Cricetulus griseus: one gene and its partners. The protein of the gene in region 3 interacts with the protein of the main gene of each other region in a pairwise test. Links are inferred from orthologs where the notes say so. Each region holds a gene or a part of one and is shown on either strand. Other genes may lie near its edges. The genes, in order: Tnfaip3, Epb41l3, 14-3-3 protein gamma and Fam53c.

Evidence for each region.
Region 1: the proteins of 14-3-3 protein gamma (region 3) and Tnfaip3 interact in binary tests that used the Homo sapiens proteins (3 or more experiments, as listed by UniProt). The link is inferred for Cricetulus griseus from reciprocal best matches to the Homo sapiens genes YWHAG and TNFAIP3.
Region 2: the proteins of 14-3-3 protein gamma (region 3) and Epb41l3 interact in binary tests that used the Homo sapiens proteins (3 or more experiments, as listed by UniProt). The link is inferred for Cricetulus griseus from reciprocal best matches to the Homo sapiens genes YWHAG and EPB41L3.
Region 4: the proteins of 14-3-3 protein gamma (region 3) and Fam53c interact in binary tests that used the Homo sapiens proteins (3 or more experiments, as listed by UniProt). The link is inferred for Cricetulus griseus from reciprocal best matches to the Homo sapiens genes YWHAG and FAM53C.

What each region holds. Positions count from the first base shown.
Region 1 is NC_048595.1:270,729,619-270,737,316, reverse strand, and holds part of Tnfaip3 (tumor necrosis factor alpha-induced protein 3), read right to left. Parts: coding exon 7,643-7,698; intron 6,885-7,642; coding exon 6,737-6,884; intron 6,589-6,736; coding exon 6,418-6,588; intron 4,994-6,417; coding exon 4,813-4,993; intron 4,398-4,812; coding exon 3,520-4,397; intron 2,768-3,519; coding exon 2,586-2,767; intron 2,053-2,585; coding exon 1,768-2,052; 3' UTR 1-1,767. UniProt on the Homo sapiens protein: Ubiquitin-editing enzyme that contains both ubiquitin ligase and deubiquitinase activities.
Region 2 is NC_048595.1:458,010,867-458,018,564, reverse strand, and holds the end of Epb41l3 (band 4.1-like protein 3), read right to left. Parts: intron 5,417-7,698; coding exon 5,294-5,416; intron 4,643-5,293; coding exon 4,268-4,642; intron 3,346-4,267; coding exon 3,214-3,345; intron 2,482-3,213; coding exon 2,383-2,481; intron 1,798-2,382; coding exon 1,717-1,797; intron 1,445-1,716; coding exon 1,334-1,444; downstream 1-1,333. UniProt on the Homo sapiens protein: Tumor suppressor that inhibits cell proliferation and promotes apoptosis. Modulates the activity of protein arginine N-methyltransferases, including PRMT3 and PRMT5.
Region 3 is NC_048597.1:114,931,030-114,939,369, reverse strand, and holds the start of 14-3-3 protein gamma, read left to right. Parts: upstream 1-3,902; 5' UTR 3,903-4,101; coding exon 4,102-4,188; intron 4,189-8,340. UniProt on the Homo sapiens protein: Adapter protein implicated in the regulation of a large spectrum of both general and specialized signaling pathways. Binds to a large number of partners, usually by recognition of a phosphoserine or phosphothreonine motif.
Region 4 is NC_048595.1:202,722,366-202,728,923, reverse strand, and holds part of Fam53c (protein FAM53C), read left to right. Parts: intron 1-1,525; coding exon 1,526-2,310; intron 2,311-3,807; coding exon 3,808-4,065; 3' UTR 4,066-6,558.

The DNA of each region.
Region 1 (7,698 bases), on a different chromosome or scaffold from region 3:
AAACAATCTGAAGAAGTCCAAAAAAGGTAGATTCCATCCTATGAAGACAACTAAATGTGCAAATTTCACATACTTTCTATAAGTATAAATAATTTCATTGTTTCACATTAAGAATGAAAATATCAATAGACACAAAATATTAGGTTATCAACTTTGAAAGAACTAAATGAAAAAAAGACAAAGATGTAAGTCAGGAAAGACAGTGTCAGATAAGAAGAGAAAAGGCTATATAGAGTTATACATCACAAACATCTTCAGGTGCTGGGCTAGAACCCAGGATGTCAGCCCTTCCCTCTGGAGAAATGCATCTCCCTCCAAAGGCAAGCGCAAAACACACAGAAAAGCTACAAGCCAATGGCAGAAACCTCCTCATCCTCATCGCTACTGGCTTTGCGGTTCCAAGGCTTGGGTTCCTATCCAGTACCCCAAGGGCACAGCATTTACACAGTAAGCAAAGGTCATGAAAGGCCACATATTTCTGTGTCCCTCCCCACTCCATCCCTATCTACTCTTCAAAGAGGTAGGATACTTGGAAGCATCTACAGGAGACACACCACAATTTCTTCCTGTGCAGCCGGGGAGTCATTAGAAGTATCAGCTTCTACAGGCTTTATTCATAAAGCAATCCCTTCTTTCCTAGGGAGGCAATGAGTAGAGAGGGCAGACAACTGCCCCACCACACCCCGAGGTCAGGAATTTGCCAGGTTCCCAGAACATGGCGGAAAGCAAGTATGTTATTCCAAGAGAATACTGCAGAAGAAAATCTTCATTTAAATAACGTTGAAGTCCATAATAAATAAAGTACGATGAGGGCACCCTTTAAGGAGGCAGCTTGTTGAATTCACGTAACAAGCTGCATACACAGAGGCAACCTGACAACAACCAGAAAATAGGTTATTATTATTCAGTCTTCCTATTACCTCTGGGGCACCATTTGAATGTTTAAAAAACAACTCCCTTATACATAATATAAGGGTATATTACATATGTACACACGCTGATACACACCTCTGTGCAAACTAGTCTCTCTGGAACTGAAGACAATGATGACCAGTGGTGGCATGTCTTCCTGCTAAGATGTTCTGCTGTCTAAAAGGTGTATGCATACAGTCAAGAGCAGCTTTTTTTGTCTCCATGTGAACATTTCTGTTTCAGCAGCCTCAGGGTTACAGTCTGTGTGCGGCTCTGCTTTCAGACAGAACCTTGGGAACCAAGCAGGCAGATAGGGAAGCCCACCGACTACAGATGCGCTCTACCCATGTCATTTCCCCTGAGCTTCCTCGAGCTTCTGGCTGGCAGAGGGCCTTGGTACTCTGAGGATTCAGCTTTGGCTCTCTGAGAAAAGCTTCCAGGGTGGGGGTGGGGGCAGTTAGGTGGTCTCAGGCTCCAACCCACCTGTCCACGTGCTTTTCTCCTGTTTCCTGGCAGGTGGGCACAGGAACTGCTTGCCAGTCCTAGCATGCATTCCATGTCTCAAGATCTCACCGGATTCCTGGTAGATGAGCAGCAACAGCTTCAGGCTGAATGTGACATCATGCATTGCCCATCACGAGGTCTACTCTCAGCCTACCTGGACATAGTCTTGGTTACCAAACCCGAATGTCACAGCCATGATGAAGAGCTTATCTTGTTTCCTTTGCTCAAAGACACTCGAAGCCACTGTCCCAGGGCCCACCCTTCCTATGGCACTCAGGGGTCTGGAGTACAGCACCACTCCGCCTGGCAGTTTGAGGCCCCTTCTTGCTGGGCCAGTCCTCTTGCTTGCACTTAGCCATACATCTGCTTGAACTGGAAGCACTCGTTGCAGTAACCGTTACACTTGGCATTGCCGAAGTGATCGCAGGCGGGGGCCCGGCAGCGCTGTTTAGGGAGCTCTTCAGAAGTGGGGTCACCCCGGTGAGCCACAGAGCCCACTCGCTGGCTCAGGTGCTGACACTCCATGCATAGTTCCTCACTACGACAGGCCAAGATGTTCTTGCAGGAGGCCCGGGCACACTTGGGCCTCGAGGCTCCCTGTGTCGTACGGGGCATATCTCTGAGCTGGCTAGATCTCTGTGTGGGAAGAACAAGAGAAGGATGTTACATTTCTCAGGAAACCAGACGGGGGTTTCAAATAACAGATTTGGATTCTACAGAGGCTTGAGCTGACTGAGTGAGAGAAGCAGAAAAATGTGCAACTGAGGGTCCATAGCTCCCCACCAATCCTGTGGACCCAGTTTGAGGAAGGTCCTCCCCGCTTCTGCCATATGCCAGTAAATGGAAGCATCCTGAATATTCAGAATAAAGGACTGAGAAGTCTGCTTCTCATTAAAATCTAAGAGGTCTCTGATCAGTCACCTCCTGGCTTTCAGGATGCTCTCAGAGGCTTTGCTCAGGGCTGACTGTATTAGCTGTTCAGAATCAATTCTAAGTATGCTTAGGCTGTTCAGTGTATCCTAACATGAGCCAAAGAAATGTGGCTGGTTTTTCCAGGCTCTCTTCCAGCAGACTTTTTAAAGGGACCTTTGTCATCATGAGGAGACAGCCTGTCTGTCACAGATGGAAGACCTGACACCAGAGAGGGCAAGATTCACCAAATGTCTCACCAGTTGCTCTTCAGTCCTTTTTGCTTCATGAAACCTCTGGCTCTGAGCTTCAATGAAGCACTTCTGACAATATCCTTCAAACATGGTGCTCCCGAGGGTGCCGCACTCCCTGCCCAGGCATGGGATGTTATTCTGGAACCTGGGGGCTGTGGAACCGGCTTTCCCAGAGGCAGTAACAAACTCTACAAAAGAGTGGATGCTAGTCAGTATTACATCTGGGTTACTGTGCAAATACAGACACTGACATACAGGAAATGGGTACCCAACATAGATGAAAACAGCCTTGAACATGTACTTTGAGACTGAACTTTCAGAAACTCAGCAAAATAACATCTTTGGCTTAATCTCTCACTTTGAACATGGGTCACTGATCAGTCAGAGAACCAAACAGCAGGCATTCACAGCCCACTTGCCCTTTGATTTAGAAAGTCCTAAGCCACAGATGTTTTCCTGATGGCAGTAAATACTTCCTTTCTTTTGCTAGCCTGCTTCAGAGTATCTCACCAAAGATGCTGAAGTCTGAACTATACGTGGGTAGCAGACTCTCAATGGCCTTATTAAACCCAGCCCCACAGTCTAGTGTGGCAGTATATGCCTAAAATTCTAGCACTGAGGGGAAAGAAGCAAATAGATTGCCAGGACTCTGAGGCCCGCCTGGGATACACAGTGGGTCCATCATGGACTAGTATGAATTATATCTATAGGATATTTTTGATGTAGGGTACATGGTAACTAGAACTGATGTAATGAGATAGTGCCTACTGCTTCCAGGTACAACAGCAGAGCAACAGTCACTGTCCCCAAGCACAAACCAATAAGAAAGGCATAGTGAGATGTAATTGCTCTGACTGCTGGGATAGGCTACTTTCTTGACAATCAAAGACCCCTTTCTAGGCACTGACTACTGCAATAGGCAATCTATGATTTCACTCACGTTTATTTTCTCTGTATTCGATGAAACACAGCGTGCAGAAGCCCTTGTTTTTGGGAGTCCCAAAATATGTGCAGCCAGCTTTTCTGCACTTGCTTGTCCCTGTCCTGTCTCCTGGAGTTCGTGCTGCCTGGGAAAGGCAGCCAGAAGGGACATCATTTCCAGTCCGATGGCAAGAGTGTGGGGCGAGACTTTGGATGAGTTGTGAGGGGTCAGACTTGGAGCGTTGGTGACAGGAGGGAGGGACACTGGAAGTGAGGCTGGAGGAGGGCTCTGCTTTGGTCCTTTTCAAACAGGTACTGCAGATGCCATTAAACGTCCGAGTGACATCCTGATGGCAAGCTTGGCACTTACCGGGATCTGCAGTGTGGCTGGCATTAAGCTGCTGGGCATTGTGGCAGCGCTCACAGAATCCATTATGCTGCACGTTCAATGTGAAAGGGCAACCGGGGCTCCTGCACTTCATTGCCGTGGTCTCGCTGAACAGAAAAAGGCTGGGTGCCGTGGGTGGGGCCGAATGAGGTCCTCCAGCTGTTTCCTCCGGGCTCCAGGCGGAGGTGCCAAGTCCCATGCCTGGGAATCCTTCAGGACCCAGCTTCGAGTTCAGCTTTGGGAGTTTGCTCTGGTTCTTTTGGCGCCTCTCTGAGCATTCATGACATAACGGTTGAGTGTTCACGGACATAAAGAAAGGACAGTTGGGTGTCTCACATTTTACATCCATGAGTGACAGCTGGGGCGTGGAAGGCTCCAAAGGGTTCTGTGAATGCGCCCCTCTCCTGCCTTGCTCATTGTTTTCCTGCCATTTCTTGTATTCATGCTGAACAAGTTCAAAGTAATCATCTACCAGATTTATTTCTTTGGGTAAATTAGCTTCATCCAACCTAAAGAGCAAGCAGGAAAATAAGTGGTGACTCCAAATAACACAAGACTCTAACATCATAAGCTCCTAGAACACATTTCCAGAATGTAGCAGTCTATGGCACAATACCAGCACTGAAATGCAGGCTTATGACACATTGTGGTCCAATACACTTCTATCATGTTCTCAAGTGCAGAAGACAAATCAAAGGGCTGGAGAGATGGCTCAGCTGTTAAGAGCACTGGCTACTCTTCCAGAGGACCCAGGTTCAATTCCCAGCACCCACATGGCAGCTCTGTCACAACTGTCTGTAACTCCAGTTCCAGGGAATCCAGCACCCTCACACAGACATGCATGCAGGCAAAACACCAATGCATAGAGAAAAAAATTAATAAATAAATCTTTTAAAAAAAGACAAATTAAAGGAGACTGCTTACTTTGCAGCATTGATGAGGTGAGTTGTGCCATGGTCCCAGCCTTGCACCGGGATCTCCATCACTATCAAGTACTCCTTGAGAAGTTTTTCCTTCATCTCATTTTCAGGGTCTGTCAAAAAGTGAACTTTTAAGTCTTCAAATCTTCCCCGATCTCTATTAACAAGGGGAACAGCTCGGATTTCTGAAAGAAAAAAAATATCGTGTGAGTAAAATATTATCCTACAAATGATGCTGTGTGTAAGGTCACATACACTGATTAGAATTTAGAGATACAGAAAGATTCATCCAGTCACACTTAAAAGCCAAACAGGGAAACAAAATGTGGTAAAGACTAACATAAAATGCTTTGTATCCAGGGAGCTCACAGAATGCCAAGGAGCCTGGTACTGGCAGACTTCTTTGACAGGGATTTAATTTGTGATTTTTGGATATTTATTGTGGCTGGAAGGCTGAGAGGTAATTTTAGTTCTTGTTTGGAGCACAAAGATTCTGGACTTACTTTTGTGCTTTTGTACACATCTCTATGAACATACTCTGTATTTGAACTCCATTATCCTCTCACCCCTCCTCCTCCTGCTGCTTCTACTTCTTTCAAAATCCTCTGCCTTCTACTTCCATGTATTCTGCTCTGTACCCTTAAAAAAAATCTAGATTCCATATATGAGAGAAAAAAGTGTTGCTTTTCTGAGTCTATGCTTTTCTTTTAAATATGATTATCTCCTGCTCCATCTTTTTTCTCTGCAAATGACAAAAATTCCCTTTTTCCCCCTTATGGCTAAATAATTCCATTGTGTACACATATCACAGTCTCTTCATCCATCCATCTGGTGATCATCACCTAAGCTGATTTTTGTAATCACAGGAAGGAGACAAGAGATCTGAACTGGTTAAATTCAATGCCTCCCAGGCAGACTGACCTGAGTTAGAATCTTGACTTTGTTGATGTCAAGCTAAGCATGTCATTTAACCTTTCTGAGTTTCCATGGCCTCATCGATAAAGTAAGACAACTCATGCCAACATCTCATAGGGATGCTATGAAAATGAAATGAAGGAATGTTGCCTGGAGCACTTAGCAAAGTGCTTACTATACATTATGGTATTATAATAATAGCTAACCTGACAAACATCTACTTGCTGTATGCCAGACTCGATACCAAGGCTTTGTGTACCTTAATTTGTCATGTAGTAATAACAGTGGTGGAGTATGCATATATGACTGTCCAACCTATGTTTACCATTCTGAAAGTACTTCCTAAGTCACACTCAAAAGGATGGCAGAATGGTATGTTTACTGCTATTGCATTACTGTGCCATTGTGTATGACTTTAATCTGAAAATCTCAAATCTACAAATCTGACTGGATTTGGGAGCATTTAAGTTTTGATTAGGGATGATGAGATGGCAAAGTCTATGTAAACATTCAGGAATATGAAAGACTCTGCAATCTGAAATAATATTGGATCCAAGCACTTTACATAAGAGATTGTTAATCCATCCTGATTAAGAACAGACTTAAATATAACAATTTCAGTTGGGAACAAGAGAGCAAGGCCGGGAACTCCAGGATCCAAAAGGGTTATGAGTATGAACTGATGTTTTCTTACCAGGTCCACTGTCCTTCAGGGTCACCAGGGGTACAAAGTGCTGGCTGTCATAGCCAAGGACAATGGGGTATCTGTAGCATTCCGGGGCGGGCCAGTGGAGAGGCAAGTAAATCCCACCCACTTTCAAAGGAGCAAAATTGGAACCCGATTCCAAGCTTCTTAGCATTTTGTCTGTTAACAGGAAGAAAAAAAAAAAAACAAAATAAGACCCTGGGTGACTTTCATGAAGCTGTTGAGGAGCCTGGGTTTCTCCTCAGAGCTAAAGCAGCATGGCTGAAAAGCATTTGGAAAAACAAGAAGAAACGAGGAGGCACCTCACCTGAAATGACAATGATGGGTCTTCTGAGGATGTTGCTGAGGACAAATATGTGGATTTCTTCCAGGGAATTATACTGAAGTCCACTTCGGGCTGCGGGAGTGTCTGCCGATGCCATTTTGACCAAATTGTCCCATTCATCATTCCAGTTCTAAGGGAAGGGGAGAAGAGAGGAAGGAAAGGACGGGTTAGCAAGTCACTCAAATGTCACTCTGCATTTGTCCCTGTTAAGAAATCCCATTCATTCTTCTCCTTCATTGAAACAATTGCTTGGATGTTCATCCTCTCCCCCATTTTGGTTTTTCTCCTTTACATTTTTCCACTGCAGAGCAAAGTCAAAGCTGAAGGGAGATACAGACAGCCTTTGCTTTCAGAAAAATTCCCTACCTGGGGCAGGGGGATAGCTCAGTGTTTTCCTAACATGCATGGAGTCTTGGGTTTATATCTAGCACCATGTAAAATCACATGGTGATGCATGTCTGCAATCCTAGCACTGTGGAGGTGGAGGCAGGAAGGTCATCTTCAGCTACATAGCAAGGTCATTTTCTGCTACGTAGCAGGTTCAAGGCCATACATGATACTCTAGCTCAGGGAAGAAAAAAAAAAAGCTTGAGGAGTAAGAGGTACATCCTTCCCTGGATTGATTGGCTGGGAAGTGCCTAAGGAAAGACCATGGTTGGAAGACCTGCCATGACAAAGAAATGCACGCCTAGGGATCTGATGCTTACAAGCCTGAGAAGTGAATTGCTAACTGGGGTTAATCCCACAGAAGGTTCTTGGTGTTTTCCACTTGGTGCACTGCTTAGCTCAACTCATATGACTTGTAAGTCATATGTTCCTCAGGGAACAGGGACTGGCCCAAAGTACCCTTTGTCCACCGTGGAGCTGTCAAACAAGAGCCAAACATACCCGAGTGTCGTAGCAAAGTCCTGTTTCCACAAATTCCTGTGATTTCAGAGACTCCA
Region 2 (7,698 bases), on a different chromosome or scaffold from region 3:
ATTTTTTATCATTGCTTCATGCAGTATCAGTTCAGTGGTGCTGATTCGGATTGCTTTATTATGGGAAGATCTCTCTGCCAGTGTCTTTCATTAATGGTCAAGGTCAGTTCTTCTGGAATTTTCCACGGACAGATGCAAGTCAGTTGGGTTAGAAGAGGGAACTCCACACAGGCTCCGGTTTTCCTAACGGTTTACGTGAAACCGTTCATGTGCAAGCTAAGTTAATCCTGTGGGAAGAAAGGTTCCGTTAGTTTCTCATTTGAAAACATCCGCGTAGGTACAAAAAGTACCATGGACATTAAAAGGCTCATCCCAGCAGAAAGCTGTTACGTTTGCAGCATACAATTACATCACCCAAGTGGCCGCAGCCCATTGGAGAAAAAAAAAATCTTTTTTTTTCCTCTCTCTAACTTTTGTTTTCATTGTTCAAGAATCCTACTAATTTGAATCTGAGTTTAGCATTTACTTTTTCTTGTTTCTTGTTCCTGAACCAAAGTGCTTCAGGAACAGATCTGAACAACCTCTCTTCAATGTCTCACTTCTAGAAGCACCTGTGGAAGTGGCTACACCCACACTCAGCATTCACAGTCCACCTAGGGATGCGCGTGGCCACCTGAGTTCCTGCTTGGCAGGTCAGTGTACGTGACAAGGCTGTGCACACAGAGTCTGCTCAGGATGCTGGCCACACAGTCCGGCAAGGCATGCACTTTCAGGAGGAAAATGGGGCCACAAATCTGTATTTTTGCCTCCCCTTGGGGCAAAACAGTATAGGATGGGGAAAGTCACTCACAGGATACAGGAAATATAAGGCATTCAAAAAGACAGTTAGTGCCCAGCCAGCCTGAAGCAGAGACACTGTCTTGGAAGAGCACACTTCCAAGGGATGACGCTGTCGTCAAAGCATGAACGAGGGTGGCTAATTTCTCTACAAGTGGGAGCACAAACTATGCTTTTCAGAAGAGCCGGCTTTAGTGTTTTTATTAGGCCACATGGCAAGTGAAACCAAATTTGATTTCTCAAATTTGGGTAATGAGAAGAAGGTAAAGCCCAGATGAAAAAGAGCAGCAGAGAGACCAGGCAAGCAGGGACCCTGCCTTCCCTTCTCCTCTAACTGGCGTGGGTGTGCAAACACAGCTCTGAGGAGGGAATCTCCACAGCAGAGGCACCCCAGCACCCACAAGCAGTTTTCCATCTTCTCGATAGCCAGCCCCACAAATGCCAGTGAGAGGACAAAGGAGAGGGGAGAATGAGGCTAAGGGTGGGGAGGGAAGTGCCCCATGCCACATGCTAGCTGAGGCAAGCCTAGAGAATCAGCGTCACCTCTTACCTCTGGTCAATCCTCTCCATCTTCTGGTGTGATTTCTGTCTCTTTATGGACCACTACTTTGGTCACTGACATGTCGGGGTGCTGCTCTTTGGCCTCTTTAATTGCCTGAGCCAGCGCCTATCCCCAGGAAATCACAGAAGGGCAAAAACAAAAAGGAGGTGGGACATGCGTGAGCAGCAGCAAGGTGAGTCTTAGGAGCTAATCTATCCCCACAGTTAACAATGAGGCACACTGATTACACAAGGGCTCAAAGCCATATACTGGAGAGTTAATTCAGAAACTACTGTAGAGTACATCCTGATCTAGAAGATTAGCACTGGGAACCAAAGGGCCAGTGTGCTCACATTGACTTCTCTGTCAGTGGGTTTACTGTCTCACACGCTACCTACCTGGTCGTGGTCGATGTCAGCATCTCCTGTGATCACTATTCGTTTCTCGATTCTCGTCTCTGAAATACCTCCTTTCACAGTCTGAAGGACATAGGAAAGCACCGTGAGTTACTCACCAGGGTAATGGCAGGGGGTGGTGGCACTGTGAAGCCCCACAGTTCTCCCACTTAGTTCTCCCAGAACTAAGTCTACCATAGGCATTCAACATGCTTATTTCCAAAAGCAGAGTTCTTTGGGTTTAGCAGACCCAGTTCCTATGATATCTACTCTACGCTAGGCCCACCCCAGGGTGAGCATCAGGGACACCAGTATTGAGAAATAAAAGGAGCTTACGATAAGGATATCCTTTATTAGAAAAACACCAGCCAAACGAAAGCCAGAGCGTGTCAGGGGCAGCAAGGCAGGGAGGCCAGAGAGAAGGGGCTCCCATGTGCCTTGCAAACCCTTAAAACCCTATCATTTGTCATCCTGACCTCATCTTGACCACGCCCTAACAGGCGTGGCCAGGCACACCTGTAGCCAGCTTTTAGCAGGTGTGGCTTACACTGTCCCCTACAATTCCCCTTTTAGTCTAAAAGGATGAGGTCAGGATGTCAGAGGTTTTGATGATTGGTGCCCTTCTCCATCAGTCAAAGAGTAATGCTTGTGGATGTTTGTTCCACTTACTTTGGTGATGTGTGTGGTGGTGGTGGTACTCGTGGTTTCAGATGTGATTGTCTGTGCACTCATCAGCACACCTGGCTCCAGGTCTGCCCCAGGGTCAACCTAAGCAGGGACAGGAACACACATAGCACACGGGTGTGGTTGCATTTACTCTCCATAGGACTGTTCCATTCTTTAATACCATACTGTGACTGAGTGGACACAGCCCTCCCCATAAGAAGACCCAATCAACCACAGATGGAAAACACTCAGGAACTATTTGCAGCCAGACTGAACGTGTTCAGATGTTTGCTAAACATCGGAGTGTAGCAACCACCAGCATTGCATTTACATCGTGTAAGGTAGTGTAAGTCATCCAGAGATTATTTAAACTATAACATGTCCACATGTTATAAGGTAATGTTATACTATTCCAACCAAGGGATTGGAGCATCCACAAATGTGGGTATCCATGGGAAACCTGGAATCCTCAGAAGGAACAATTGCTTCCCACACTCGTAGCCCAATTCAGGTAGAACATGGGAGCTCTTGGAGTAAACTTTAGGCAAAGCTGTAGGCAAGGAGGGTTAACAAACTGAGATGTTATAAATGTGACTAGTGGGTGGCTTAAGCCTCTTTCTTATCCATAACTGCAACCTAGGTCTCTGAGACTTGCCTATGTGAAGGCTGTCTAAAGCCTCGGTTAATCACCGTGGCTCCACAATCGGTAATAAAACCATGGCAGTGCACTGTTCTTGACAGAGATGGTTTGGATGCCGATCCTTACAGCCTCTTGGACTGGTACTGTGTAGTTGAATGCAAGAAGCCCTAGATCTGCCAGGTCTCCGGTCTTACCTGTGATGACTCATATGTGATGGTTTTTGTTTCTGTGTGAACTACTGGCACTTCCTTGGTAGAGATCTCTAGCTTCACTCCTCCTGGAGAAACACTGCCCACACTCACGGTCTCCATCTTCACAGTGGAGGACTGTATCAGTGGGAAGCAAGGGGGAGGGGTTATCAAGGCGTATACGCAGTTTGGACTTCTCTCTCCTCCTGGTGTCTTTGCTATTTTTGCTCATAACAAAAGTTTCTGTATTAAACGAGGAGGAGGTAAGACAGGGATCATGACACACAACAAATCTACACCAGTCTCACTAGATTATACCGAGCAGTTGACATAGGATTCCCGAGGCAACAGAAACATTTTAAAGGGGATTAAAAACGATCTGTCCCTTCTTCTCCATCTCATATGCAAACACTGACATAGATAAACCTATAAACAAGCTTTTAAGTTAGTAACCAAGAAAGATGAGGCAAGAACCAAATCATCGTTCTCCACCCACCAACCTGTGGAATATCTCGGTAAAGGGTGATAAAGAATAAAGTTCTGGGAGTTGGAGGAATGCTTTCTGGTCCTTCTAGGAAAGTAAGTGGATCAGAAATAAATGTCAAGTTTTCTTCAAAAAATATTTTACTATTATCGTTGTTGTTGTTGTTGTGTGTGTAAGTCAGAGAACAACTTTCAGAACTTGGCTTCCACTGTGGGTTCCAGGGGTTGAACTCAGGTCATCAGGCTTGTGTGACACTGTGAGCCACCGGGCTATCTTTGTGGCCCTCTAAAGTAGCTATTCATTGGCTCCCTGTGTTTTCTGTCAGTTATAATTTCAATGACAGAAACCACTTCCTAGAACTATACATCATCAGTACTTGATTTTTATATTTCTATGTGACCCCCAAACCTGGAAACAAGCCTGGAGACCCCTTCACTGCTGTGCAAAGTAAAAGATCAGAGAGGAAAGCCAGAGGCCCGTGCACGATGAGGCGTGAAGTTAAATGAAGCACCACTTCTGTTTTTCTCTAACTCTCAGGGTATATCACCTCTGAGAGTAACAGTAACTACCATTTACCTCAAAATGAGACTTTTGTTCCAAAGCCTCAGAAGGGTGCGTGGCTGCCACCTGCTCCTCCTCATGGGAGACTGTGGCTGGCTGTTCCTGCTCGGGGACAGATTTGTCAGCCTCCTCTCCTCTCTCTTCCTTAGCTGCTTCTGTCACAGAACAGCCCTCCTTCCCTTTCGCACTGTGAAGATCTGAGGGTGTGGTCTCTGCTGTATCCACGGCATCCCCGGCTGTGTGACAAGCATCTCCACTGCCTTGCACACTCTCGATGCGCCTCTCCTCCGCCAACACGGTTTCCTGCAGCACCTTCTCAGTGCTGAGGGGCTGGGAGTGTGGGGTCAATTCCACCTCAGTTTCGATGGACTCTGTCTTTGTTTCCAGTTTCTGTATGGGAAGAGTACAGTGTCTGAGTGACTTCCATAAACCCAAACAACAAACTCCCCAAGGCGGCTACTCACTATGAGGTTCAAAGCTGGCATCAAGAGCTCATATGCATGGACGCTGACGGCAGTAAAAATAAGCTTTCATTCCTCCCACTAGCTTTGCTGTCTCTCTCTCTCTCTCTCTCTCTCTCTCTCTCTCTCTCTCTCTCTCTCTCTCTCTCTCACACACACACACACACACACACAGGGACCTGCACAGCTTTCTCAGAGCAATGGCGAAAGAAACAGGATGCAATAAAGCACACGAGCAGAGGAGAAAGAAAGGGCGTTCTGCTGCACGTTCACCGTGGCTTTGAATGTGTGCCCTTAGACTGGACGGATGAGACGAAATGTTTCTAAAGATCAAGAGCCATTAAAATCTCCTAACGCCATTGCTTTTGAGCAAAGGAAGCCCGTTCTCAAAGTGGAATGGAAGGTCCACAACAGACAGGCACATGCAGTGGCAGGAAGAACAGTCACCGGGGACTGCTCTGAGATGCAGGAAGGCAATGCCACTTGGATGCAAGACACAGGCACACACACCCGCCACATGCTCACAAAGCAAAGCAAACGGGCACAGTCACAAACACCAAGGACGGGAGGGAATGGCCACCTGCACCCAGCTCTGGGTAGTAGATGAAACCCCTCCTATGAACTCTGTGGGTTTCCGGGCCGACTCTAACAGACTGAGGATCTCCGAGCCATCCATGAGTTTCTCCCCAGAAGACTGTTTAGTCTGAGTGAACAAAGAAACGAGAGTCAAGCACGAGAGACGCCCCAGACATGCACATGTTCGCAGCTTGCTAGACAAAACCGGAGGCAGAGGAAAAAAGGAAGGAGGAATGAAGGAGTCCATGTACAGAGCTTGGAAACAGAAAGGAATGGGGGCATAACACAGCAAACTAGGTGACCATGAGCCCTCGTGTGCTAAAGCAGAGAGTTATCACGTTCAGGGTGGCGTCGGTTTAAGCAGGTCACTTCCCACCGACCCTCCACCCCTCCCCTCCAATTGCAAGCCACAGCGCGCCTTATCACGAATCTTGGGAACGGGCAGCTAGAAATAAAAGGGGGAAAAGTGTTTTTAATGCTGATTTGGGGCTGCAATATTGATTTAATCATGGGAAGAAGAAAAAAAAAAAAGCTGGGTTCGCTGCTGCTCTCAACATAAAGTCAAGCGGCCAGAGAAACGGAAAAGGTTCAGGGTGGAAGGGCGCTGTTGTAAAAAAAAATGTCATGCTGGAATCTTAAGCTGTGACCGAATGAGAGCCACTGGTTACCACCACTTGGGATGCAGAAGACTCGGTGACATAGTGGGCAGTAGCCACGGTAAAGGCCGGCTCCTGGGAGTACCGCCACTCAGACAGGCTCTTCCTGCGTGGGCCAAAGGGCCCCACCGTCAGCACCTCGCATTCGGCCCCCTGCTGCGGTTTGCCGAACCGGGGGTGGGCAGGTGCACCCTCTCCCAGCTTTGGTGCCTTCTGGGTGTCATCTTCCTCGGGGCTTTGCCGGCGGGATTCGGCTTCCTTGATGGGCGCCAGGGATTCTGACAATCTCCGCTTCGGGGTGTGGACCTCGGGTCCTCTTCTGGATTTCTCATCAGCCAGGGATTCCAGGACCTCGTATTCCACCAGCAGGGGACCGACCTTCTCTGCAGCGCCTCTCTCTGTCTTCTGCCAGCCTTCCAGCGAGGAGGGCTGTGCGACCTTCTCCCCCTCTTTAGCTTTCCCAGTCATGGTGACAATTCTGCCAGAGACGGTGTCGTAGGATTTCCCCAGAGTGTACATCTTCTGCGCGTTCTCCTCCTTCAAGTGCATTTCTCTGGCCAAGTCATCGAAGCCATGCATGTCAATCATGCTAGGTTTTAGCAAGTCAGCCGGGATCTCACCGGTTTTACTGCTCACAGTTACCACCTTGTAAGTGACAATCTTTTTCGAATCACCATCAACTACCTCAGTGGGTATTTTGTCTACAATAACCCAATCCTCTGTGCCCTATATTCAAAATATAAAAGCTAAATTAGAAAAGCTGGTGGTATATAAAAGCTGGTTGTCTATAAAATAAGAACCCTTTTTAAAAAATGCAGGGCATAAACTATACCGGGGCATGGGGTAAGACTGAAGCAAAGGGTGGCTGCTATCATCTAACAGTTATGGCTGGAGTCCCCTCTCACCAGAAATCTAATTTCAACCCGGAATACATCCTGTGGGGGTGGCATTGAAATCTCATGTTTCTTTAACTAGGAACATATCTTGGCAATGAATTTTATAGGAGACCTATTTGACCTTGTGCTTGGCAGCTTGGTTGCATTTTATCTTAAGACTGGATGTTATAAGTGAACTACTCAGGCTCACACATGTAGCACAAAAGACTGTTATCCTTGTTTGCTGTCACACAATGCTTCCCATACTGGTATTTTCACAAGGAAGTTGAAGGTGTTCTCCAAGTTTCTGTAAAGACCATTTTTTTCCACATGTGCAAATTTGTTTCCTTATCTAGGGAAGCCAATTCACGACTACACTTAGTATCAAAGCATATTGAGTGCGCCCATATTCAAGGTATGGCAACGGAATTTCCCCTGATGAGACACTACTGATCTGGATCCCTTTAAAATAAGAGTTGGAGGTCCGTGGAGTGTTCTGTTCTTAACTAGACCTGCAGTTCGATGTTTCAGTAATTTCTCTCCCACTTTCTTTAGCATTAGTTCCAACAAGGCAGAAGAACGGTAAGAAACCTTGGCCTACAGGAGAGATAACTGGATGTCCTAGGCTAATGGCTAACCAGCTTACCAGGTTACAGAAAGGAAGGGAGACCACACCAGAGTAGATGACATTTGGTTTTATGTTTTCTACTTATGGTATCCTGAAAACTTGAATCTAGATATATGTTTGTGTTAAGCAAAATAACTGCAGGTTGATCTACATGCTGGCATTGGACTAAAAGATATGAATTGAAAAAAATAACCTCTAGGGTCGACGGGACAGTTTTCTGGAAAATTAATTGATGAGAAGTAGCCACAGA
Region 3 (8,340 bases):
TTCTAAGGAAGTGTTGGTGAAAGAGTGGTTCCAGAGCATAAGATGGGTACATTGTTAGTAGGATGTGGCTGTCTCTGCCACTGTCACCTAATGGGGGAGGTCTCCTGCTTCACAAGGAAGCCAGCAGCCATCTATCGAACAGGGCCATGATGATTTATGGCTGCACAGGAACTGCAGGGCATTGATTTCCATGGCTGACCCGCTTGTCTGCCAACTGAGACAGAGAAGATGTAGTTAGAAGGTCATGTCCTCCAGTGCCAGAGAAGGATGGAGGGTGCTCTTGCATCAGATCAGCTTACACAGCCAAGGCCCCGCCCTCTTTTTCTGAGCAGATGCCAAGATAGATCAGGCCTCACAGCTGGAATAGGAGTAAGTGACCCTGCTGCCTGCCTTGGTTTTATTTCATCCTCAGCTAGTCAATGCCTGTGTGAACTTCAGCTTATCACATTGCCTCTTGGTGCCTGAAAAACATGGATAGGGCTGGAGGCATAGCTCAATGGGATGTAGCTCAGCTGTGGAGTGCTTGCCTAGCATGCATGAAGCCCTGCGTTTAACCCCTAGCACTGCACAAACCAGATGTTGTGGCTTACATCTGTAATCCTTGCACTTGGGAATGAAGTGGAGGCAGGAGGATCAGGCATCTAAGGTCCTTCTCACCTACATGTTTTTTTGGGGGGTCGGGGGAGGTTCTAGACAGGGTTTCTCGGTATTGTGTTGGAGGTTGTCCTGGAACTCGCTCTGTAGACCAGGCTGGCCTCGAACTCACAGATCCACCTGCCTCTGCCTCCAGAGTTCTGGGATTAAAGGCGTGCGCCACCAACACCTGGCTTCACCTACAGGTTTTGGTAGTAGTGTTTTTTACATAAGTTCTCACATTGTAGCCTTGGCTGGTCTGGAACCCACTCTATAGACCAAGCTTGCCTTGAACTCACAGAGATCCTGCCTCCTACATATGCTGGCATTAAAAACATGTGCCACCACTCACAGCTGTTCTTGTTTGGTTTGTTTTTGAGACAAGGTTTCTCTGTGTAGCCCTGGCTATCTTGAAACTCACTCTGTAGACCAGACTGGCCTCTGTCTTTTGAGTGCTTGGATTAAAGATGTGTACCACTATCACCTAGACATGTTTTCTTTTTTAATGTTTAAATTTTTATTTGATAATGTATGACTGAATGTGTGTGTGCATGTGTGCATGTCTGTGTGTGTGTGTGTGTGTGTGTGTGTGTGTGTGTGTATGGCATGTGGAGGTCAGAAGAGACTCTTTTGGAGTTGGTTCTCTCCTTCCACCTTTTTTTTTAACTTTTGATTTTTCAAAACAGGGTTTCTTGGTGTAACTTTTGGAGCCTATCCTGGAACTTGCTCTGTAGACCAGGATGACCTGGAACTCACAGAGATCCGCCTGCCTCTTCCTCCCAAGTGCTGGGGTTAAAGCTTGTGCCACCATGGCCACCGGGCCTCTCCTTCTGCCTTTAAGTAGGTTGTGGGATGGACTCAGCTAGCTGGGCTTTCTCTGTCAGCTTTATCCACGGAGCTGTCTCATCCATTTGCTGCTCTCCCTTCATCCCCTCCCTCCACATTGTTTTCTTTGCAGCCTATGTTGGTGGTAAAAGTCTATAATCCAGTGTTTGGGAGGCAGACTGATGAGAAAATCAGTTCAGGGAACAATAAAGAGAACGGAAGGTCAGACCATCTCAAAAGAGAAACAAATTAAAAAGTTTAGTGTTTTTTTTTTTTTTTTTTTTAACCTTTGAGATAAGGTCCAAGTCAGCTTATAAATAATTTATGGTCAATCCTCCTGCCTCAGTCTCCCAAGTGCTAGGATTAGAGGGTTTTGATGCCATACCTACATCATTCATTGGTTTAAAAAATTTATCATTTTATGTGTATGAGCATTTTGCTTGTGTGTGTGTATGTGTATTGCAAGTGTGCCTGGTGCCTGTGGAGGTCAGAAGAGGGCATCAGATTTCTCTGAAACTGGAGTTATAGGTGGTTGTAACCTGTCATGTGGGTGCTGGGAATTGAACCCAAGTCCTCTGTAATAACAGCCAGTGCTCTTAACTTCTGAGTCATCTCTTCAGGCCCTTCATTCATTGCCTGATGTTATGTGTTCTGCATTCAGTAGTGATGAAGACAAAATATAGATGTGACCATTTTCTACCACTGTTAAAATATCTTGTGAAGGGCCTAGTGGCTCACACCTGTGTCCTCTGAAGGCTGAGGCACATAGATGGCCAGGTGTTTAAGGTTGGCCTGAGTTACATAGTGAGTTTCAGGCTAGCCTGGCTACAGGGTGAGGCTGTTTCAAGAGAAAAAAAAAATGAAAAAAATAAAATAAAAACCAAACACCTGACACACCTGAGGTGCCTGTAATCCTAGTATGTGGGAGGTGGAGGCAGGAGGGTTAGGGCATTCAAGGTTTGCCTTGGCTACATAGGTAGAAGTTTGCCTGAACTACATGAGGCCAGGTCTCGAAACAGAAAACAATGGGTATTTTATAAAAGAGAAAGTCGGAAAAACAAAGGAACCACAACCAACTATACAAACAAAATCGATCAATAAAATAATGTAGAGTCTTTGTCTATTATTTAAAAATGAATTAATTCCTGGGCAGAGGCGGGGCTAGGTGAAGGTCAATTCCCAAGCTAGGGAATATGATTCAGTTGGGAACATTCATGTAAGACCCTGGTTTTGTAGTCTCAGCACTCTAAGACTGAAAACGAAAACGACAAACCCAGACCTCATCTCCCAACTCCTGAATTTCTTAGCCTGTCATTCAATGTCCCGTAGAAATTAATGACCCCAGTAGAGTTTCATGAAACACCAGACAACCTATCAGTAAATAAATTCCAGCTCTAGGGGAGGCAGAGGCAGGAAGATCTGTGTGTTAGAGGCCAGCCTGGTCTACACAGAGAAACCCTTTCTGGTAAAACAAAACAAACAAACAGACAAACAAAAAACGCAGTCAAAACTATAGGGGGTGGTGAGCTCAGGGAAGTGTTGGGTCAGTGAACTGAATCTTGGAGGGAGAAGGGATTTCCCCAGGGTCAGCCTGTAGACAGCTACATCACTTAGGGAAATTAACAAATGTACAAGGCGGATATGTGTCATTCCATGATTTCACCCAGTGAAGCCCCATGTCAAAGTGCATCACTGGAAACTGCAACATTCGGGTGTGCGTGTGTGTGTGTGTGTGTGTGTGTGAGAGACAGTCCTCTAAGTGTGTGTGTGTGTTTGTGTGTGAGACAGTCCTCTAAGAGTTGCATCATTTACGCAACCATCTCTCGGGCAGCCTCACCCTTTCGATGGTGGTGGTTGGGCAGTTTGGATTTACGGTGTCTGCACTGTGTTCTTCCCCATCCTCCGACCATGATCTGTAACCTCTGTTTCACAGAGTCCATAAATGAGGCCCTGGCTTTCTCTCCTCTCAACTGCCCAGAAGCCATGGGGCGGGGCCGTGAATCAGCACTGTTGCAGGCTGCATCCCCGCCAGGGGTCCCCAGCGGCCGCGGGCTTAGACCCTACCCCCACCCGGTCCGCCTCTGCCGGCGCTACGCCCGCTGGGAGATGTAGTCTCCGCCGCCCCTTTGTCCTTGGTCTCCTCTGCCGGTCAGTTCGCTGCGGGTCGAACTACTACTCCCAGGAGTCCACGCGGCAGAGGCAAACGGTGGGGGCGCTCAGGGGGACGAGGAGCGATCTGAAGAAACTGAGGCGAAGGATTTGGGGTACATTAGAGCGCAGTGGACAATCGGGGAGACGCTGAGAAAACCTCGAAGAGCCACAAGGAGTGTTCCAATAGGGGCGAAGCCCGCTAAAGGAGGGGCCGGGCGGGGCCGGGCAGCTCGCGCGCATGCGCGAGTGGGCGGTGCCTTTGCGTCACCCGTGTGGGCGGGACCGCAGGGGGTTGTCCGTCCGCGGCACGCATTAGAGCTGCAGCCTTCTTGCGCCGGGTGCCGCGGTCGCAGCTCGTGCAGCCTTTTGCTCGCCCTCGCCTAAGCAGCTCGCTTCGTGCGTCGGCCTCCGACGCCCCTCTCTTTCCCTAAAGCCCTTCAAGGCGGTCTCCGGTGTCCTCCTCTCCAGCCGACCCGCTTCAGCCCCGCGAAGATGGTGGACCGCGAGCAACTGGTGCAGAAAGCCCGGCTGGCCGAGCAGGCGGAGCGCTACGACGATATGGCCGCGGCCATGAAGAACGTGAGTGTCTCCTCCCCTCCCCCCTGCCTCGCCCAGCCGCTCCCGAGCACCGGGGTTCTGGGCGTGGAAGGCATGCTCGGGGGCATGTCGCCTGGTCGTGACCGTGGGGTCACCCCTCCGTCCCCCTCCTTGGAGGGATTAATTAGGGACGGGTCCTAAACGCGCGACTCGGGCACCCGAGTGGTGACGCGGCCTCTTTCCCAGCCTCTCCGGGCTCGGGGCTGGGGCGGGGTCTGGCGTGGCTGGGCTCTGCTGGGGAGGGGTCTCTAAGTGACCCTGCTCGTCCAGGCTTCCGAGTCGGGGGCCGTGCGCATCCTTTGTGCCCCACTTCCCCTCCTCCCCGCTTAGGCGTGGGGGCGGGGGGACCGCATGGATGCGGTTCCTCTTTCTCTCCCTGGTGTCTGGGCGGCGCCTTTCCCATTCACTCAGCTGGTCTCCCAGTCTTCCGCCTCCCCACTCCAGCAGCTCCCCCTCCCCATCATCTTCCCCACTGACACATCCTTTAAAGAACATTGAATATTTCGGGAAGAAAAAAAAAACGTAGATCCCCTCCCCCAAAAACCCGGGCTTAATGGTGTAAAATCGAAACCACCTTGCTCACGTTTTTCTTAACAAAAGGCTTCCCTTTACCCATTTCCCAAAGCGAGTCCTCTGACTTCTACGGAGGGAGGGATAAGTGTGTCGTTGGCATTTCCATTCATGGCCCTCTGTGTGCCATATTCAGTTTTCATTGAAAAGGGTTAAACATGCCTTTGAATGCTAACTGACTGATTAAATTTGTGACATGCAGTTTCTCTTTTGAATGTAGGCACGAGTCTCCCGAAATTCCTTTAAGTGTAAAAAAAAAAATCCGTCTAATCTGACATTGCAAACAAAGCGATGCAGGGAGGCAGTATCAAGTCATTCCAGAAGATTCTGCATTTGTCATATTGCAGAGAGCCTAGACTGGGTGGAGGCTGGGAGGAGGGTTTTTTTTTTTTTAAATGTATCTGAGGCTTTTTCCCTCTGACCTAATGCATCCTCATACTGATGAGAAGAGAATACTGATCTCCAGTTGTCGCATTTTTGTCTGAGATGCAAAATTCTACCTATTTGCACCATTTTGTCAGTAGCACTTATTTATTAACGAGTTGGGGACCAGTTTGCCAGCAGAGGGGCAGTACTGAGTATTGAAAAATTAAGTAGAAAAATTAATAATTGGGTTTCCCACTCCCTTAATATTTAACTTCCTACCTTATGTAACAAAGGTTGTTAAATGCATCTCTGGTGTTAAGTGGCTGGAGTGTGCCTTGCAAGTTAAACCTTTCAAGTGAACGAATAGCATTAATTTTTAGTTAATTTTTTTCTAGTGTTTTCAAAAGTCCAGGTGTTTATCCTTTCCTAATCAAATGAGCTACAATTTTTTTCTATTTTATGAAAAAATAATTTGGCTTTAAGACCAGAGCTACTGTTGTGTTAGTGTGTTGCTACAGTTTCCTTTTTATAACGGTTTAACAGTTAAAGGATACAAGTTGGACTTCTGTGGGTCACTAATGTTGAAAATGTCTTCAGTTCGTGATATTTAGACTCTAATTCTCCCCTATTTCTAGTTCCACAGGAGAGCGAGTGACCTCGCACCTATATCCATAGCAACCCAGTGATGTCACACACAATGACACAGAGGCTGCAATGCACCTAAGGGCTGGTAGGGAGTTTTCAGATGGCATTTGTCCAAGGTAATGCAGAAATGAGCTGATAAGCCAGGTGGCATTGAACGTTTCATCTTCTACCACATTGGCCTCGATCACCAAATAAAAAAATTATTTCACTTTAGACATACAAGGGCAGTGACTTCTAGAAAAGTCCATTCACCTTAAATGTCCCTTAACAACTTTATAAGATACTTTCATATTTCTCAATATCCATATCCATATCACTTACTTTAAAAACCCAGTAACGAGGAAGTGAAGGAATTTCTAAATAAGAATGTCTCTGGTCATAGCGAGGTGGGTGTGCATTTAGTGTTATTTCAATGAGACAGCTTTTCATTAAAGCATTATTAAATGATGGCTGGCCATCTGCAGTAGCTGTTAGGAAATGAAAACCCAGTACAAAGTGTTTTCCATCCGAATGAGGGAGGTTGTACTCTGCTGACCATGCTATGAGAGGAAGAATGATTTGTAAGATATAGGCCTTTTAAAAAGTTTTTTTCAAGCCTATTTTCTGTGGCCTTTTAAGAAAATCAGCTTACCTCTCACCCCCAGTTTCCACACAATACTTACTTGAACCAGTGAGGAACATGGTTCCCCAGTGTGGTAACTCAAATCACCTGTGTCTCAAGCATGCGTCTCTTGGTTCAGTCCCTGGCACCGGAAAAATTGATGATGAAGGGAATTAAGGTGTAGTTTAAGCATCTAGGGTAATTCTGGAAATGCCACGTTTGGAATTCATGCACAGCTATATCTGTAGGTGACTAGGACATCAATAGTTAGGGGCAGTATTCTGAATTAGGAGAGGAGATAAATGTGCAATTTTGCATTTGAGCAGAATACCTAGATGGTTCCGACTTGTTAGGTTATCCCACTCTCCCCTCCCCCCACATATTCAGATTCTGTCATCTCACTTTCCTTTGGCTGATCACAGTCCAAAATAAAATGTAATAAAGTCTTCAGTCTATTGTTATAATTGTTCTTTCTACTTATCAGTTATTGCTCTTACTGTGCCTGTCAGAGATTAAATTTATCACAGGTATGTATGAGATACAGTGTTTGGGTTTAGCTGCAATTTCGGTATCTGCTGGGGATCTTGGAACACATCCCTTTGGGCAAAGGTGGAGACCACTGGAATATCCTGCCTTTGGCTTTCAATAGCCTCTTGAGAAGTTAATATACTGAGTAGGCCGCTGGTACTTGCATCCTGGGGGGAAGGAGGTCCTGGACCTTGGGGTTACTGGATTAGAACTCTGGACTTGGGATTACAGTGGTTGAAGGATGCCTTAGTTATAGAAACAGATCTTCCTGGTGGGATCAATGGGTTTTAAAGTCTTACTCGGCTAGTTCTTCAGGAGCCAGATCAATAGCTATTATCCCTAATGGAGTAATGATGCCTTTGCAGATTCCTTCGAGGTGGAGCTCTGCCAGCTGTTCTCAGTCACGACTTTTAGGCTGCTCTCCTTGGAGTGGAGAGAGCATATAACTTCATTTCTGGTGTTATCCTTCACAATGCTGAAATGAAGATTAAATTATTTTTCCTTCCTCTTTAAAAATTACCAGCCCGAGGAACAACTTGGAGGAATCGGTTCTTTTTCTACTGTGTAGGTCTGGGGATTGAACTCCAGTCATGAGACTTGGCAGCAAGCAACTATATCTGCTGAGCCATTTAACCAGCCCCTAATTTTTTCCTCCTAACTAATTGAAAAAAGAGAACCTTGTGCTTCCTGTGTTCTTTAAAGGATGTGTTTGAATATCTGTTACTATATTTTTAAAGATAGACCTCAGCTGTCATTTTTGAAGACTAATTATGTATTACTGAAAAGAAGGGCCTGGCGGTGGTGGCACAGGCCTTTAATCCCAGCACTCTTGGAGAGAGAGGCAAGCCGATTTCTGTGAGTTTGTGCCCAGCCTGGTCTACAGATAGTTCTAGGACAGCCAGGGATATGCAGAAACTGTCTCAAAAAAGCACACACGAAAAAAGGGAACAAAATGTTAGTTTTCATGAGTGGTGTTTTTTATTCTTTGCTGTTTTTTTTGGGTCAGGTTCTCAGTATGTAGACCAGGCTGGCATTGAACTCAGGTCCACCTGTTCCAGCCCCTTTGTTTCCCAAGTGCTGGAATTCTAGTACTAAGGCACCACACCCAACTGATAGGTATTTTCTTTCAAGTCACAGAGCATACTAACTATACACAATCCAATAATAAAAGTTAACAGTACAATTTAGTGGTATTTTAATATTTAATACTTAATAAGTTAAGCCCTTATTTATTTCAAAAATGGAAGGGTATGACTTGGAAAGTGGAGGCAAGAGAGTAACAGGACTACAGGAGAATCCTGTCAAAGCGGAGAAAGATGAGGCCACCTGTTTAAAAAGATCCTGGCCTGGACTGCAGCTTGCTGGGTTTGATTACCCACTCTGGAATGTGCCCACCACCACCCCCAGCCATTGATAATTAATTG
Region 4 (6,558 bases), on a different chromosome or scaffold from region 3:
CCTAGAGAAGTATAGACAGGTTGGCCAGCCAGCTTATCCAAATTGATGAGTGACCGGTTCAGTGAGAGTCCCTACCTCAAAAAAATAAAAATAAAAAAATGGGGGGGGGGGAGCAGACAGGTTGTCATAAAGTGCTGGATGACCTGAGTTCATCCATAGGACCCACATGACTTCCCAAGTTGTCCTCTGATCTTCATACACATGATTGTGGTGTTGGTACACACACATACACGCACACACACATGCATATACCCATAAATAAAATGTAATTTAAAAGTAAAATGAGGTAGAGAGCCATTGAGCAAGACCAGATGTTGACCTCTGAGGTCAACGTATGTGGGCTCTTGCCCATACCCACATGAACATGTACACACATACACACACGAACACATGCACACACACACCCATACACACATAACACGCACACACGCTCACACACTCTCTCACACACACACACTCACTCACTCTCCCACTCTCCAAAAGTTACAGTTTTGGTTGGAATGTAGTGAGTAAGGATCATTCCTTTTAGCCTGTTTCCCTTATCTTTGTCAGACATAGGAAGTTTGCTTTTATGTTATTTATGTAGCCCAGGTTTGCCTCAAATTCAACATGTGATTATCAAATAATTACATGAACTCATTTCCTGCTTCTCCAGAATTCTGGGATTATAGGTCTGAGCTACTATACCCACTTGTTCCTCCAATCTACTTGACATTAAAAGGCCCAGAGCCTGGCATGGTGGTATATACCTTTAATCCCAGCACTTAGGAGGCAGAGGTAGGTGATCACTGTGTGTTTGTAGTCAGCCTGGTCTTCATAGCAAGTTTCAGGCTAACCAGGGCTATATAGTGAGAGCTAGACTCAAAAAAAAAAAAAAAAATTTTTTTTTTTCCAAAAATTTATACTGAAGGTCTAAGGGGGAAGGGAACCAGAGTATACGCACAGACATAAAAGAACAAAAATAATACAGAATCTTAGAGTTTTTCTAGCACATGTTCTACCATCGACCACCAACATCTTCCTTGCCTTCTCTAGCAGTAAAAGCAGTTGCTTGATTACTTCCACTAGACAGCACTGCCCTCCTTGGTCCTGGTGACATGTAAGAGGAAAAGACCAGGGAAGGCGAACATAGGCCTGATTTTCAGAAGGCAGGCTGGGAGCAGGGAGAGCTGGGTTGTAGATATGATTGGTCTAGAATATTGGGGGTGAGTAGGTCATACACAGAGACATACAGGTTTCTCTTCACGGTTTCACCTTAGAGAAGTGGCAGACTGTGTAAATGTTCTTTATTCGAGGATGTTCTTAGGACGAAGGTAGCATAGTAAAGGTTGAATCCTATTTTGTTCATTTGATAGCTACATGCTTTGGAGCCAATTAGGCTGCAGTCATCTAAAAAAGGGATAATCATGGTACCTCCATGAAGATTTTTGTGAAGCCACACCAAGTATTGACTGCATTACGTGATGCATAAGCTCTTATCATATGTTCGCTATTGTTAATACTTTTTATTATGAATGCCTTTCAGAAGGTGCTTCCTGGAGGGGCCTGCCCCACTGTTCCTGTGCTGAGTTCCAGGACAGCCTCAACTTCAGCTACCATCCCTCAGGCCTAAGCCTGCACCTCAGACCACCCAGTCGGGGAACGTCCCCGCAGGAGCAGCCCCTCCCCCAAGTACTAAGACCTGAACCCCCAGACCCAGAGAAGCTTCCTGTGCCCCCTGCTCCTCCATCCAAGAGGCACTGCCGCTCACTCTCGGTGCCTGTGGACCTGTCTCGTTGGCAGCCAGTGTGGCGGCCCGCCCCCTCCAAGCTGTGGACTCCCATCAAGCACCGGGGCAGTGCTGGAGGGGGTGGGCCGCAGGTGCCTCACCAGAGCCCCCCGAAGCGGGTCTCCAGCCTCAGGTTCCTCCAAGCTCCCAGTGCCTCTTCTCAATGTGCCCCAGCCCACAGACCCTACAGCCCTCCTTTCTTCAGCCTGGCCCTGGCCCAAGATTCCTCTCAAACCTGCGCCACCTCCCCTCAGAATGGTTCTTGGGAGAGTGATGCTGAGTCCCTGTCACCCTGCCCACCCCAGCGCCGCTTCTCCCTGTCACCCAGCCTGGGCCCACAGGCAAGCCGCTTCCTGCCCTCTGCCCGGAGTTCCCCTGCATCTTCCCCCGAGCTGCCCTGGAGACCTCGAGGTCTCCGAAATCTTCCCCGAAGCCGCTCGCAGCCTTGTGACCTGGATGCCCGCAAAACTGGGGTCAAGCGGCGTCATGAAGAGGACTCCCGGCGCCTACGGCCTTCCTTGGACTTTGACAAGATGAATCAGGTGAGACTGGTAGACCAGAAGAGCATGGACAGAGTGGAAAGACTGTTGAAACATCTCCTAGCACCACCTTCCTTGTAGGTATATCTGGAAACTCTTCTCTCTAGAGTTTATTCTAGGAGGACCATTCTGTCTTGCCTGGAACTATTTGAGTTTTAACCTTTAAAGTCTCCTGTCCTGTCAGATTAGTCCTTGGTGTTCAAAGAAACTAGACTGAGACATTAAACCTTTAGACAGGGATTCCTAATTGTTCTACCAGAGGCAGTTCTCTCAGAGGACTCTTAAGCCACAAAAGTCCTGTCACCAATGCCTACTCTTGTGTTCTGGGTTAGTTCTACCCCCTGCACTTCACTGCCTCATGTGATACTTTGGAGGCTTAAACAAGCTTAACAAGCACTTTACTAAAGTCCTAGCCTGAGAGCAGCTTGTCTACTTTTTCCATATTTTTCTTTCTCGATCACTTGGTCACAGGTCTCTGAGAATTTGTTCCTTTAGTCACCCAGCCATTCAAGGAAGCATTCATGGCAAAATCCATGTCCTTGATTCTGCTTAGACACTGGCAGAACAGAGAGTGGCCAAATAAGCAGATGGTATTGTTGACTGCATGGAGCTTATAAATAGTTTTTATTTGTTTTTTAAGATAAGGTCTTTCGAAGGGCAGTGGTAGTGCACACTTTTAATCCCAGCACTAGGGAGACAGAGGGAGTTGGATTTCTGTGTATTCAAGGCCAGCCTGATTTACAGAGCAAGTTCCAGGACAGGCTCCAAAGCTATACGGAGAAACCCTGTCTCCAAAAACAAAAAGATAAGGTCTTTCTATTTATCCTAGGTTGGCTTCAGCCTTCTGAGCTCTGAGCCTTTAGATACCATCACGCTCAATCATCCTCATAGATTCCATTCTCTTTTGTGGTGCTTATGAGTGAGCCTGTGTCCTTAGACATGCTATGCACGTGCTCTGCCACTGTTAATCCTCAGCCCCCAGGCTTCTATGCTTTGTTATAGGTTTGGTTTAGTTTTTTTAAGACAGGATCTCATTATTGTAGTCTAGAACCCACTATGTAGACCAGCCTGGACTTGAACTCTCAGAGATCTGCCTGCCTCTGCCTCCCGAGTGCTAGGATTAAAAGTGGGAACTGTGGTTCTTTCCTCAGAGAATGTACATGTATACTAAATGTTCCAAATTTTATGGTTTGGAACCTCACTCTAAAGCCTAGAATTTCTGCCTTCAAGTGTAATTGAGAGGGACACTTTAAAATTTATTTTTGGAGGGCCAGGAGATGGCTCAGTGGTTAAGAGCATAGCTGCTATTTCAGAGGACCTGAAATTGATTGTTAGCACCCACATAGTGTAATTCTAGTTTCTGGGGATTTGATGCCCTCTAATGGCCTCTGCAGGCATTGTTCTGTGTAAAACACCCAAAATACATAAAATAATCAATGGAAATTTTTTTAAATTTTAGGTTACTTTGGGAAATTAAAATTTGTCTTTGTTGTTTGACAGAAACCATACTCAGGAGGTCTCTGTCTCCAAGAAACAGCTCGAGAAGGTAGCAGCATCTCTCCACCATGGTTCATGGCCTGTAGCCCCCCACCTCTCTCTGCTTCCTGCAGTCCTATTGAGGGTTCATCCCACGTGCTAAGTGAAAGTGAAGAGGAAGAAGAGGGGGCTGTGCGGTGGGGACGGCAGGCACTAAACAAGCGGACACTGTGCCAGCAGGACTTTGGGGACCTGGACCTGAATCTGATTGAGGAAAACTAAAACTGAGAGGCTGCTTCCTGGGGCCACACAGACTGACTGTCTAATGGCTACTAACACGTGTGAAGGCCCCAAGGCTGAGGGCCCAGCCTGGGAAAGGGGGTGAGTGGAGGGCTCCGACTCAGGGCAGCCGAAGTCTTCTCGCTCCAGCAAGCTCGACCATGCCAAGAGACTGGCCGGGACAAGATAAACAGAGCTGGTGGCGGGAGGGACAGCCCCAGAGCAGACCCTCCCCATGGCGGCCCTGAGTGTGAGTATCCCTGCCACTGAGAGAGCAATGGGCAGGGAAGGAAGGGGTCTGCTGACCCCAGCTCGGGGAATTTCACTAGCCCCTTTGCTTCAAAGGGCACTTGTGTCTTAGAATTTGGCCAGGGTGGGGGCGTTCAGTCAGCCTCCTTGGAGAAATTGTGTGAGTGTGTGTGTGCATGGGCGTATACTTGAGGAAAGGTGTGTTTGTGTAGCCTTAGGGAAGGAAGGCAGTTGCTCCTTTAACAGCAGAGCATCAGGATGCCCCCAGAACCTTGATTTTTTTTTTTTTTTTTTTTTTGAATATGATGTTGGGCTTGTTCAAGGTGTCAAGAGTAGAGGGGGCTTTTTTTTTGTTTGTTTTTGTTTTTGTTTGTTTGTTTTTGGTCTTAATAGCTCTGGAGCCAGGCTTTTAAGGTCATAGCATTACTTGCTCTGCAGATGGCTCTGTTTTGGGGTCTAAGTATGGTGACCTCAGCTAATGGTCTTTTCCTCAGTCCCATCCTCTCCCACTAGATAAATCTAGTTTTGAGGGCTTGTAGGAAAGTCACATTCATTGTGTTGATCAGATTTTCTGAGCTGTACACAGCCTGCCTCTCGTTCTCTGAGTCGGTGCAAACATGGGCGGCTGAGCCAGAGCTGAGGGGGGGTCTCACTTCTTCACCAAGGGACCCTTTCATCTTTCAATTCAGAGACAAAGTTGATCTCCAGAATATGTTGAGGCAGACCTGTAGCAGGAGCAGTGACATTTAGTCCCCAGAAGTCCTTGAGCCCACCCCAGCACTGCCTTTTTGAAGCTGGCTGTAGGGAAACTTATTCTTGCAAGATCTAGGCCCAGTCTCTTTCTGATCTGTGAGAAAGAGGAAGGGCGTTCAGCATTTAATAGTTTGCTTGTCTTCCACTCTTGCCAGGAAATGTTTATTTGCCTCTAATTGGCCCTGAGAGACCACAGAGAGGCTGGGGCTCACTGAGGGATTGGCTGGGGATGTGTAAAGCAAAGGCTATGAGAAGCATCTGGGAGTTGTTTGTTGTTGGATTGAATTTCCTTTTTTGTTTTGCCCACAACTTCAGCCAGTGCAGCAGGTCCCAATGCTACAGTAATGGACTTAAAGATTGCAGGTACCTTGGGTGGGTTGGCACCAGTGCCGTGCGTTTAGAAGCTGCCACTATTGCAGTCTATGAGGCTTTGTTTAGAACACCCTGTATAACAGAAATTGGACCTGCCCTTCCAGTTTATTATAATAAGGGCATTTTTTCTGTTCAGTTTCCAGGGTGTCTTCAGGGGAGGTAGCCATGTCTTCTTGAGCCTGTGGCCCTCAGAGGTTCTATTTTCCAAGGCTCCTCCCTATCTCCTGGCTAGTTACCACATATTACCACTGGGCTACCAGTCTCTAAGGGCCTAAGAGAGGCTCTCTTGAGAATCCAGGGAAACTGAGCCCAGGAGTTACCTATCCTTGATTCATCCTTCCCTGGTTCTCCCTCTCTGGTCCATAATTTCCCTGGTGCCAGCTTCTTTTCCACCTGGGGCATCCTCATCCCTGGGCTCTCTGCTGCAGATGGCAGTGTCAGCCTCCAATAGGTCACTGGCAGTGCCAATGGGGTCTTTGCAAGGCCCTAAGTTTAAGTAAAGGCAGTGGTTCTGCCTCCATCCTGGCTTTCCCACCCTTAGGGAGCGAGGCCTACAGTTGTCATATTTTAATTCCATTCCTTTAAGTCTGGAATGTTAAACTAGGCAGAACTATCATCTTGCTTCCCAGTTTAAATGCCTCTGGCCCTGGAACAAGCCTTTTCAAGACGTGAATCATTTTGCTTACACAATAGATCTGTTCCAACAGTTCTGTGTAAACCAAACGCTATTTTTTAATGCATTTGGACTGCTGGCCATTTAAAAGCAGTCTATGATTGCTTCTTTTGTAAAGCAAGCAACCTCCCTCTACTTTAGCTGGTTTCGTTATCTGGGTTTTCACATTTGGGCTTTCCCAGAGTGGAGCACACCTCCGGGGCTTGTGGCTGATGCTGTGTAGACGTCTGCATCTGCTGCGTGTGTGGTGTGGCTGGCCGGTAGGTGAGTATTACTGCGTGTGTGAGTGAAGCCACTCCCAGGCTGATGCTCTCTTCCTGTGCCCAGTGACTGCCCAATGGCAGCCCTAGCTGCCCTTCATTCCCACCTGCTGCCAAAGTCCCTGTGCTAATGGGATTACAGAAACAAAAAGTGGAAAAAAATTTTTCGTAAACTTTGTTTTATATTAA